3 linked regions of the Bombyx mori genome follow. The protein of the gene in region 3 interacts with the protein of the main gene of each other region in a biochemical or structural test. Links are inferred from orthologs where the notes say so. Each region holds a gene or a part of one and is shown on either strand. Other genes may lie near its edges.

The links.
Region 1: the proteins of Ter94 (region 3) and NEDD8 ultimate buster 1 form a complex in vitro, tested with the Homo sapiens proteins (2 studies listed by BioGRID). The link is inferred for Bombyx mori from reciprocal best matches to the Homo sapiens genes VCP and NUB1.
Region 2: the proteins of Ter94 (region 3) and ubiquitin conjugation factor E4 B form a complex in vitro, tested with the Homo sapiens proteins (2 studies listed by BioGRID and IntAct). The link is inferred for Bombyx mori from reciprocal best matches to the Homo sapiens genes VCP and UBE4B.

The regions. Positions count from the first base shown.
Region 1 is NC_085120.1:2,113,270-2,117,539, forward strand, and holds the start of NEDD8 ultimate buster 1, read left to right. Parts: upstream 1-1,414; 5' UTR 1,415-1,501; coding exon 1,502-1,627; intron 1,628-2,030; coding exon 2,031-2,290; intron 2,291-2,426; coding exon 2,427-2,527; intron 2,528-3,650; coding exon 3,651-3,772; intron 3,773-4,270. Other genes in the region: uncharacterized protein LOC101747105, read right to left, coding at 228-416, 729-772, 1,187-1,248. UniProt on the Homo sapiens protein: Specific down-regulator of the NEDD8 conjugation system. Recruits NEDD8, UBD, and their conjugates to the proteasome for degradation. Isoform 1 promotes the degradation of NEDD8 more efficiently than isoform 2.
Region 2 is NC_085109.1:10,812,163-10,816,235, reverse strand, and holds the start of ubiquitin conjugation factor E4 B, read right to left. Parts: upstream 2,857-4,073; 5' UTR 2,644-2,856; coding exon 2,620-2,643; intron 2,476-2,619; coding exon 1,840-2,475; intron 1,772-1,839; coding exon 1,633-1,771; intron 1,373-1,632; coding exon 813-1,372; intron 1-812. UniProt on the Homo sapiens protein: Ubiquitin-protein ligase that probably functions as an E3 ligase in conjunction with specific E1 and E2 ligases. May also function as an E4 ligase mediating the assembly of polyubiquitin chains on substrates ubiquitinated by another E3 ubiquitin ligase.
Region 3 is NC_085125.1:11,209,073-11,213,194, forward strand, and holds the start of Ter94 (transitional endoplasmic reticulum ATPase TER94), read right to left. Parts: upstream 2,816-4,122; 5' UTR 2,729-2,815; coding exon 2,712-2,728; intron 2,131-2,711; coding exon 2,025-2,130; intron 1-2,024. UniProt on the Homo sapiens protein: Necessary for the fragmentation of Golgi stacks during mitosis and for their reassembly after mitosis. Involved in the formation of the transitional endoplasmic reticulum (tER).

The DNA of each region.
Region 1 (4,270 bases), on a different chromosome or scaffold from region 3:
AAGGTGGGTGGCGCATTTACGTGGTACATGTCTATGGGCTCCAGTAACCACGAAACACCAGTTGGACTGTGAGCTCGTCCACCTAAGCAATAAAAAAGGAAGTTCATTCTAAACCCAATGGTACATTTTTGAGAGCACTAATGTTGTAGTCCATGACTGATTGTGACCACGTACCATGAGGGGGGTCCCACGTAAACCTGCCCATGAGAGCACTAAAAATAAATTACCTTGAATATCGTATCCAGGATGATAATTAGGGTACCTTCCGAACTCCCTATTGAAGATACTGGCTGCTCTGCGCACCATCTTACTCAACTGTCCAGCCACAGGAGAAGCTACGATCTGCTTAGCCAAAGCTTGCACGTCGTCTACATTAGCTGTTATTAGGATGTACGACTCTGTCCTAATGAGAAGGGCTGGAGGGAAAACATAAATCAAACTAACAATTAACATTTAAAAAATGAAATGCTCCACCACAAATGGATTTTATCTAGTAGGCTATGATCAAACAATTTCCCAATAAACCTATTTCTCCAGTTGAGCGGGAGCATTTAGGTTGTAGATGTCTACGGGTTCAGGTAGCCAACTAACAACAGCTGGGCCATGAGCTCGTCCAAAACGTCGTGATAAACGCGACATTATACCATAAAAATAGTTTTATTTTTATCTGTAGCTCGGGAAAATCGAAGAATACCGAGGATATCAAAAATACAAATTAAAGGACTCACAAAATATAAAAAACATAGGAATAATCATGGTGCTTCGTCCAAAACTGGAAAATATGTAACGAAAGTGGCATTAAACGGTTGATATTAATAGAAAATGTCATTAAATTCAAATTTTAATGTAGTGTGAAATGCAGTACTTGGGCAATTAGAAATATTATTACGTTTGTACCTACAAATTTATAGATATACCTGTACAGTTTGTTTATTGAATGTGATTATAATTGAAATACCCAAACTTTTATATATACTTTCCCTTAAATAAAAATATCACATACGTTAGTTAAGCTAAGTCACAATATCATCAATTGAAATGTTACTTGTGTTGCCCAAATTAGAAATGTAATCTTGCTAATTTTAAACTAGAACTAAATTATTTGTAGCCACCGCTATGTACTATAAGTCATATTATTAAGTTTTAAGAACGATAAAGTGTATTCTGTGCTTGTACAGATAGTTACCGCCATTCTGCATTGAACGTAAACGTGATGTGGACGGCGGATGCAATACAGTTAATCAACATATTTTCATCTTTAGGGACTTTAGTAAGCGCTTAATGTTAGGTGGGTGGGGAGCTCAATTGCTAGCCTTCGATCAACACTATTGTTGATCGAAGTTGCTAGCAGTCAGAATATTTTAAGAATGTTTGCTCAAACATGTTGATGTTTTTCAACCCTAAAAGTCAGCTGTCAACGTCATATTGACAATTGATATGTAAGACAAAGTGTTGATTTTTGCAATCTCATTTTTTGCATACTTATTTAAATATCAAAACAATGGAATTAAATCTTCAACATGAAGATTTATTGATTAAATTAAGAGCTAAGCTGAACGAAGAAAAGATTAAATTATGGGAACCACCTTATTATCAGGCTGACAACGATCGCTCTCAAAATTTGCGGGTGCGTTTTATTTTTTTATTTTTTTCTATAATTTAAATGTGGCTTTAAACGTGCCGTATGTTGTTTTTAATAAATTAAAACTAATTTATATTTGTACGTATTTTAATACTGAACTGTTTTCGATTTAATACATTTTACTTAGTTTACAAAACGGCCTATATCACTTGATAAATTATTTCAATACAGTGTGTTGATTTGACTTAGTTTTCAAACAAGACAAGAAAAATGTTATAGAACACAACTCGAGTGAGATTAGTATTATTTAACTAAAAAGACTGGTTACCAGTGTTCATAGCAGAGCTACAAAAACATCACAGTCGAAATACTGAGTTAATTTCATAGACTAAAAGGAACCATAATAAAAAAAGTTGTATTTTCAATATTTTATTATTATAATTAACAGGATCTAGCATTAAAATACTCATCACAGCTATTACAAGACGATGAAACGGTGTTTTCTGCATTACGTGAATTACAACTGCATTCACTTGACCGATCCAAAGCAAATGCGGAGTACAAGGAGACAGGACTGGCTACATTCAGGGTGAAAGCTAATGTATCAGGACAAAAACCTGTAGTCTTAAAAATTCAAAAGAAGTTGGAAGTGCCAGGCAGTGATCTCATTGAAACAGTGGCTAAGGAGATTAGTGTTGGAACTGACAGGTAATTTGATGCTCTCTGAAATTTTTCTCAAAGAATAGCTCCTCACAATATTTGCCATTTAAGGCATTCCAACCCCATTACTGTATGATTAAATAGGGATCAGTTTCATAGCTTGATATATTTATCGTTCTTTCAGAATAAAATTGATATGCAATGGTAAAATTATAAAACCGACAATGAATCTCAATGAACAGAATATAAAAAATGGAGTACAAATAATGGCACTTATTATGGGAGGTAAGTAATATAATTTTTTCCTTTATACTAATCAGGGCTTAAAGCTGATTTTTGACATCAAAACACTATTGCCTCTGCCCATTAGGGTTTTCACTACATTGGTAAACATCTATGCCAACCTTCAATCCAGGACTTATGACAGCTTTGCAACTGATTTAATATTAAGAGTTAAACATTATATTTTAGGCAGAAGCTTGGCTTTACCAGTAGCATTTCTGGTTCCCAGCTGAGTCTGAGTTCTCCCAGCTGTCCTGTAAAACCGGAAAGGCCTTTGGGCCACCAGTAATCCTTCCATCCTAAAAAAGAAAAAGAGATGGCTTATGCCTATGAGTATGCCTACCTTCAGGTCGATGATTTGTTTGACTGCCTACAAAGACAATAGAAAAAAACTATATTAATAGTTATGTTCTGTAAAGTTTGTTTAGGATGTCTCTTTAAAGAGATCATGATTTTTTTAACACATCTTTTGAGTAAATTGTAATTGTATATCATATTGTAAAGTAGACACATTCTCATTAGGTATGGCGTAAAATAGTTGAAAATATATTGATTTGGTGGCCAGTTGATGTTAGAATTTGCTATGATCATATGGTCTGAAAATTTTTACTGCTCATGCTATCCCATGTGTGATGTGGAGAGTGGATCTGTCTTGCTGAAATGACTTACTGTCTAAATCTATGTTACCCAGCTGATGTCACTATTTTATAATGTTCTTGTCCCAAGCAGTCTCAACATGATTTTCCCCTATTTGTAATGGCATAAAGATGACACATTTTTTTGTGGACCAGTCAGGGGAACGGCTTGCAAATTAAACAGCTGACACTTGCATAAGGAAGAAACACCCAGATCTTGAATAGTTTTTTTCCCTACCTAAGCTGATAGCCTATGTCAGCATAACCTAACAAGTATGTGAGCTCACGTGGCTCAAACCTGACGACGTTGCTAACACTAACCGTACGTGCGTTTCAATTAACTGAAGAAAGAGTGTAAATCATTGAATAAGATTTGTATTTAGCGATGGTCACCGTACAAGCAGTCAAACGGTCAAGCGGATTTAACTAAAAATAAAATTTTCTGAATTAAAAAAAAACTGTTAGTAACCTTAGAATGCCCTATAATATAGAAGCCCCAGAGAACGTTAAGAAAGAAAACGATATGTACATGGAGATGAAATCCACACGTGACGATGCTCTGCTGCTGACCGATTGCGCCGAAGAGTTGACTGGCGACGATGAGTATTTAAAGGTAATGTTTTATCTATTAACACTAGAACAACCTTTCCCAGCGTTTTGACGTCGGATCGAAACTTTTTTGTATAATAATATATTTATTATTACATAAATATTTTTTTTATAATATAATAACAGTACCTCGATGACCTGGAGTTTTTTTTTTTTTTTGATAAATTGTGTTTTTTAGCAATTATATTTAAATACGAATTACAAATTGATAAAATAATGAAATAGGAATAATATTTTTCGATCTTACCGACAGAATAATAATAAAACATGAACTGGTTATGTAAATAAATTATCGATAAAGTTGATTGTTGAAAACACGAATAAAACAACATTTTCTGAAAATAAAACGTAGCTAGTTCGATTTATCGCCCCCGAAATCCCCTGTATACTAAATTTTATGAAAATCGTTCGAGCCGTTTCCGAGATTTAAATTATATATATATTTATATACAAGAATTGCTCGTTTAAAGATATAAGATAAGATATGTATATGTATATGTAA
Region 2 (4,073 bases), on a different chromosome or scaffold from region 3:
ATATTATTTTTCAAGAACACTAGTTTTGCTCTTGGGTGTGTTTCAAATCTTAAGACATTTCAAGTATATTTCGTTAATTTGATAGTTAAAAATGTGATTTAATTCCACAATATACTAATAAAAGCAGTGGAATACTTATTGTAGTGTATTAGTGAAGATATTTGTTGTCCTTTTAATAAAAGGATTGCGGAGTGCAGGTTGTATAAAGACAGACACACAATGAACAGATACATTACCCAACATATGTGCATAAGTTCATAATTAAATAATAAAACATAAGTTATCTTTTTGCTAATTTGTCTGTCAAATACAATGTTTGTTTCAAATTCAAATTTCAAATCAATAATAATTTAATAATGCAATAGTTATGTGTTTATTGGAGTAGGTTCAAATTTAGAAGTTTTTTTCAACTTTTTATTTGGTTTAATACAGCATATTTGTGTTCTTACTGTACTGGTTGGTTAACTAAGTTTATTTATAAATGAATATAAACCAATTTATATCAATGTAGTTGTTTGTTAGATAAAAACAAACATATACCATTATTTCAAATCCAATAATTGGTTGAATTTAATTCAATTGCAAGAAATCTTGAATATCAAATGTTGGTAAACATTCAAATCAATAATTTATATTTCAATTTAAATGTCATCATAACATACTTGTTGAATAACAAAACTTGTAAACTCTACCACTGGTTCCAAAAAGAATTACAGTACTGAGAACAACCAGTGAAACAACAAACGCAGCAAGCCTGGACTATCCATTATTCAAGATATTTGTTAAATAAGTTACATTATAAAGGTCCTTACCTCATCAAATATTTCTTTATCAAGATATGTAGCAAGCAGTAATTCTGGGATGAGGCCCGTTGGTGCATTCCCAATCAATATGTAAGGTAATAATGGTGATTTCCTGCACTTTTCCAATTCGAACCTTCCTTGTAACACTAGTACCAAATGATTGACCAGTATAGTTCTCAAACTTTGGAGCAAATCACTCAAAGGTGGTTCTGAACTCTTCTTGGGGTGTTCTCTTTCATATGAGTTTACATTATTGTAGAATTGAAGTAAATAACTAACAACTAAGCCTTGTGTGGGCATCGTTTTCTGGATTGGTAGGGCTGGTGATGGGCATTCAGGTTTATCCGCATCTGTTTCTACACTTGTTGAATTGGACAAAGAGTCCTCACCATTCTCCTCATTCAAGTTCTTTGAAGTCTCAATAATTGCAGTAAGTTTTTGATTCAATGGATCACCACCATCTGCTATTTGTATTATGACATCCATTAAAGCTTCAGATATGAGCTCAGTCAGAGAAAGTTTTGGATTATCAAGTAACGATGCTGCTACTGTTGGCACAAAAATCCCACCTGCATACAAATATTCTCTCTTTAATAAGATTAAGTATAAGTATTAAGTACAGAAAAATTAAATGTGACAAGTTTTATTCTAGAATCCTTTAAAAAACATATCTTGATTTCATAGAATTTTAAATTGAAAGAACTGTTTTAAAAAAATAACAATTTTGTTATTATTGCAAAATATTATGGATTGTTTCCAAATTAGGTAGGAAAGATTATTTCCAAACATTAACTTTCCTTTCATTCCTAATTAATATATATTAATTTACCTGCACTGTCATCTGACCATGAAACTTGAAGAATCTTTGATACAATGGTGCGTAATTGCTCTTCTGTCAACTCTGTGCAACTGACAGTTCGAGATCTATGTATTTTACGTGCCGGAGATGCTGATGAATCATCTTCAACCTTAAATTACACAATAGGTTAGAAACAATTTTACAACAAGTTACATTGGATTTTCGGTTCTTTGCTACCTCCATTGGTTCTTGCTGAGCTTCAGATTGAGAATTTCTTTCAGACACATCATCTACTTCCATTGACAAAGAACGACGAGAACAACTTGGTGAAGCATTTGTTTGTCTTGGTCGTACAGGTGATGGCTCAACAAACTGTGGTGGAGATATTGATCTTGATGTGCTATCTTCCCTTGTAGAACTCCCTTCTGAACCAGCAACAGTATTTTGCGGTAAGCTTCCCACTCTCACAGACCCACAACTTATCAATGTGTCATCACCCATTGAGTCAAAGCTACTGTACTGTCGTGTTTGTGTAAGATCTGTCATTTTTGTGTCTGGCATTTCATCCAATATATTGTTGTCAGTTTTTTCTGTTACAATTAAACCGTCTGCTGATATTTTATTTTGATCTGATTGATCTGACCTGACTTCTTCTGAGTAATTGGGCTCTTGATTTGCATTCGCTGTGTCAGGAGTGGTGGGTTCTGTAGAGCTTCTAGTTGAAGGAGCTGGGGACAATCGTAAGGGTTGCTGTGGACTGTGTAGGTCAGGAGAAGGAATTGAGGCGCCAGGGGTTACCGGAGGACTAGCTGAAGTAGGCACTGATCCTGCACTATTAAGAGCTGCGAGACGAACCAGGCGTCTTCTTCGTATCTGTAACGAATATTGACATCTTGCAGCACGTGTGAGTAAATGACAATTGCTGGGACGTTCACCATTGACGCTTTGTTTTGTTACGAAATTAGATTGGCCATACGTAGTAATAGACGGTCGTTTAAAAAAATTATTTTGACTTACCTCCTCTTGGCTCAATTCACTCATGATGAAAATTATAGAGTAGATTTTTCTATTAATTTGTTCGGCCTATTCTGTTACGTTAATTTTTCTTTCAATATTTTTAAGAAAAAGAAGCACAAGCCACACAACGAGTCAGTCACCTCGCTCAGCTGTTTGACGTTTGAGGCTGCACAGTGCACAATGACAATGACGAAGTTAATAATGAAAATACACGCGTCATCTTTGTAGATGAATTAGTATAAAGAGTATGTCTCTTTTTGTGATATTTGAAACAACGTAAACAAAAAGAGATAGCACCAAATATGACATTCACCCACTGTAAAAATGTTACCCTAGCAATAAAATCATTCTAGTACTATATAATTAAAGTTTTTTTTAATAATTTTCATACCTACCTACTTTTAGCATTACCCTTCCTGGAGGGCTGAGCCTTTGCTCGGCCAATGGCTCAAAATAATCCGAGTAGAATATTTAATTCTTACACAAACGCAAATCTGTATATGTGTAACATTTATTTGATTTTTGCGGCATAACGTAGTGTAAGTGATTGCAATATTAAAATTTAAAATAATAAATTAATGTGTTTAAAAATGTGTAAGTCGTATGATTTGTTCCGAACTTTTCCCTTTAAGTAAATGAATTCAGTCAATTCTCTGCAGTGTTTTCCTGCAGAGCTGCAAAATCCTGTTATTTGCCATGAATAGGTACGTACGGACAGTAACCAGAAAGAATAACCTGACTCATAAAAAAAATCACATTCACAACTTCTCTTCACTGATACCAGTCAGTCACTTACTTTTTGCATGGAAGTAAGTAGGTAGGTAGGTGAAATAAAAAAGGCAGTGCCTAAAAGTCAATTTAAACGGGAAAAAGTGGCAAGAATAGTTACTATGAATTTATAAAGAGCAATAGCGAGACTGGTAATTTTCGGGGCAGGATTTGGTTAGTTCTTTTAGTTCTTTACGTGTCTCTGCTTGTTTTGAGAAAACTTTTTTGAGGGTAGTACGATTTACAAAATGATATACCTATTAGTCCCAATAGAGGTAGGTTTTTTTTCTAATAATAGTAAATGTATAAATGATCTTATACTAGTCAATAATAAGCATATTTTAACACCATTTATTGACGATATTTTTTGGCCATTAATTTATTATTACATTCCATAATTTGATCTAATGATGACAAAAGTCTACATTTAACGATTTTTGTTTACTCTTTGAACTTAAAATGAAGAAGTTTTGGGTTTTTGTAATTTAGTCTTGAATTAACATGAATAGTTATTCTGTATCGTTATTTATATGTATTCTTCTATTTTTCTACTGTACTTGTAGATAGACGATCATGCGGCCTACTTGATGATGAGTGGTTACCGTAGCTCATGAAGACATTCTGTTTAAAACTCAAAACTCACTATTTAAACCCCACAATTTTTTTCTGTCTGTTTTAACGTCGAC
Region 3 (4,122 bases):
ACAGTTGTAATTTATGCATTAGTAAAACTTGCAGTAACAGTTTTGATACATCACTCAAGTACAATCTTTCAGAAGCTGGATATTTCGGTGCCACACAGGCTGATAGAAAGAAACGTAGTGATTTGTGTATTAATTTGTGATTATGTATAATCAATGTAAATGTTTATGTGTAATCAAAGGCACTCTAGCGAAACCTACGTAAATTCACAGTAGATAGATTCTAAGCATATGTTAGCATCGGAAGGGCATTGTTTATTATAAGCTTTTATTGACAGGCAATACGGATACAGGACTTTACTGTCAATATCTGATTGACAATCAAACAACAAAATGGTAATTTTTTTATAATGATAATACAAGTTTTTTTTTTATTGACCTTGTAGGCAAACAATCACTCGGTCCACCTAATGGTGAGAAATTACTGTTGCTTATAGAAGTCAGTGATCCCAGAACCACAACCAAGACGTTGCCCACTACTAAGGACTCTCTATAAACCTCGTTAGGAGAACCACGTATATTTTTAACCAGTCCGAAAATATTGAGTTTCGTTGAGAAGCATTAACACATTCATAATATAGCCCTAAGCTTAAACTCACAAATCTTCTTCAGCCCCTTCAGAATTTTTAGGTACTGTTCGTTTATTGTACTGTACTGTAGTATTTTTTAAATCAAAGTCTCCAAAGTTTTCCTTAATGGTCACTACCAACTTGGTAACAAACAAAACAGTAGTTGGTAGTACCAACAATATAGATCAGGTTTTTCTAAGTTCCTATTTTAAATAAAGTGAGTTTTTTATTCCACTTGGTAACTAATTTTATTTCATACTTTTTAGTCAATTGATTCTGTAAAATAAATTCATTCTATGCAGGAAACAGACTTAAACAGATAATGTTTTTGGTAAGAGATATCTTTAATTATAAAAAACAATGAATAAATATTATTCCTCTATTAATTTTGTCAGAGACACTATGTTGAAATAATATATGACATATCACTTTTATTAGGTGTTTTTATTTTGTCTTTTCTTAGCGCTTGTGTTACCAGATTTTTTACTTAGTTATATATTGTGTGTCTAATAAATAAATAAAAAATAAAAATAAACAACCAACTGACATCTCATTTGCTAAAATCCTATAAAATATTTAAGCTGAGGAGTATAACATACATAAGTTCACATAACTTGGAATAGACCTTATAAATTTAATAATCAGTTGAAAAACACTGGACAACAGTTTACTACAGTAACAGTTTACCGGTGGTATTATAAGCCTGGGTTGAGTGCAGTCATGCATTCCAATTTGACAGATAGGTTGGCCATTGTCATACAGTTTTTTTTCTTTCTTTTCTTTATTGCTACGATGGATGGACAAGCTCAGGACCCATCTGATGTTAAGTGGTAAACTGGTCTCAGTTTTACAGTTATAACAGTCACTCAATCTACTCTTTGGACCAAAATGAATTACAGCTTCAAGGCAACTGAGGTTGGTGTCACATTCACATTATGATGTCTATGGACTCCTCACATAGGCCGTGAGGACATTCACCCATCTTTGCAATGAATAAATAAAAAAAGTAGTCTTACAGCTTTACTATTGACCTAAAGAGATAAAAAGGTTATTCAACTCTGATGGTTATAACAATGGATATTTTGCATCATATAAACTATGTTACAAAGGTTCGTTCTTTTCTATAGATTAATGGGGAAGGACAGAGACATTTTAATCATTGTTCTTTATTGTTAAATTATTAAAAACAGTAGTTACATTTTTTTTTTTTGCATGGTGCCTATGCGTCTTACAAAATACTGTATTTTATTAACAAAACAATAGTTTTAGGGATGTTCTTTTGTTTGTTTGATTTGAAAAAAAAAACCTTTATGTGTTATGTTTATGTTAATTTTATTATTTGAAGGTTAGGATGACAGACGAAATTTACTTTTTTTTTGTTCAAAGCAAAAGTACTAATATTGCTATTTAAGGTTTAGTGAATGAACCAAACATCTTGTCCAGAGACAAAGCACTGACCTGTGAAAGTGCCACGACTGAGTTGTCATCGCTGACTGCTTCTTCGACAATGAGACGGTTGGGTCTGTCCTTGCGACGGAGGATCGCGGTCGATAAATCATCAGGGCTGGAATACAAGACAATTATGACTACTCTTCAGTTTAACATTTATTTCTCACTAGTAGAAATACTTGGGTTTTGTTTGGTTTAAGTAGAAGGATTAATGTCTTTTCATTAAGATTTTTGTATTTAAAATGGTATTGGTATTTTTTAATGATTTTTGGACATAAGTTCAAACTGATTATCACTGGTGCTGAGGATGATGTTTCACTTAATTACACATTTCTAAACATATATTTCGAAAATTTGGTGAGTTCGGGTGCTCAATTTCATTCATTTTTATAGGAATGATTTCAAAATGCCGAAATTCTTTTGTGTTAATTTGTCATCTCACCGTCTCTTAAATAGAACAAACTTGTTTTCAGAACTAAGTACTCTTGCATTAGAAAGTTACAATGCTGTAGAATAATAAAATTGCTGTTGTAGGTCATTGATGAAAATAAAAAAATCACTACACTTTAAAAGTTTAATTCTCGACATGATGACAAGCCAAATTCGAAATGCATTCACAATGTACTTCGCCGATTTCGTGTAAATTTTACATGAAACTCCGTTTTGAATATTTGACGAATATAATTTAGCACTCACCTTTTATTATCTGCCATTTTATTCAAAATTTATTGTTAGAATCTAAGAACTATTATAATTTTTATAACGCCAAATAATTACTTGGCGAACTTCAATCCTAGCGTGACGTTGCCGTATTTCATTTGTTCATCGATAAGCTTCGTGTTGCCATAGAAAATAATACCATAACTAAAAGACCCATTTCTGACTAACTCTTCAAGTTTTAATCGATTGTAACCATCTCTCGATTGCAATCATTGATTACCACCACAGAGTTGCAAAATGTCTCAATCTAATATATAAAATTCTCGTGTCACAGTTTTCGTTGCCATACTCCTCCGAAACGGCTTGACCGATTTTGATGAAATTTTTTGTGCTTATCCGGTATCTATGAGAATCGGCCAACATCTATTTTTCATCCCCCTAAATGTTAGGGGTAGTCCACCCCTAAATTTTTTTATTTATTTTTTAGACAAAATTTTTCATTTCTATTTTTTTATGATACAACATACAAAAATACATACAATCCTCAATTTTCACCTCTCTACGATCAACCCTTATTTTTTATTTGCTAATTAAAAACTTCTAAAAATTTTTGCGAGAATTTTGTTTGTATTTTGTCATGACTTAAAATAAAAAAAATTATATTACTCTCAATTTTCACTCTTATACGATCAACCCCTATTTTTCCATCCCGATCAATATTTTTTTTATTCTATGCACAGATCCGCAATAAGGTTGCAAGATGGCAATCAAATATTATAATTGTAGTACGATAAACTCTTATTCAGAGTTTATAATTTCAAGTTCCTTTAATTATGATTTTTTTTAAATTGAATTTGATCTCCCGCCCTCGCCGGTCGACTACTGATCAACTATCAATCGATCAGCTATCCCCGCCAGGTGTCACCACTCATCCAGCAAACATCACGTAGTAGGGATGAGACGAAGCCGGTCTCCTGTCTTACTTATTCACTATACATCATAGATTATACACTTAATATATTTGAGAGCTATACAATACTATACATTTTTCAGCCATGTTTTTTTGGTTTTATTTGTGTATCAATAGTATGTTCAGTAGGTCTGAGAGTCGGCTACTATCTATTTTTCAAACCCCTAAGTGAAAAGGGTTGTCGACCCCAAACATTTATTTTTTATTTTAATTTTTTGGATATTTTTTTTTGTTTACAATGAGGTATTATGTGGTTAAATGAGGTTTTTTTTTCTACAGTAGAATTTCCCTAGAAATCTTATTTAAGGCAACACAACGTTTGCCGGGTCAGCTAGTGGATTTATAAATTCTTTAAAATTGGGGTAATTTAAGACGCGAATTATAAATTTCGAAATTAAAAAAATAGAGGTTTAATCAAAGATCGCCATAGAGGTTGGCATCAGAGGCTGGCCATACTACCGATAGCTAATTATGATT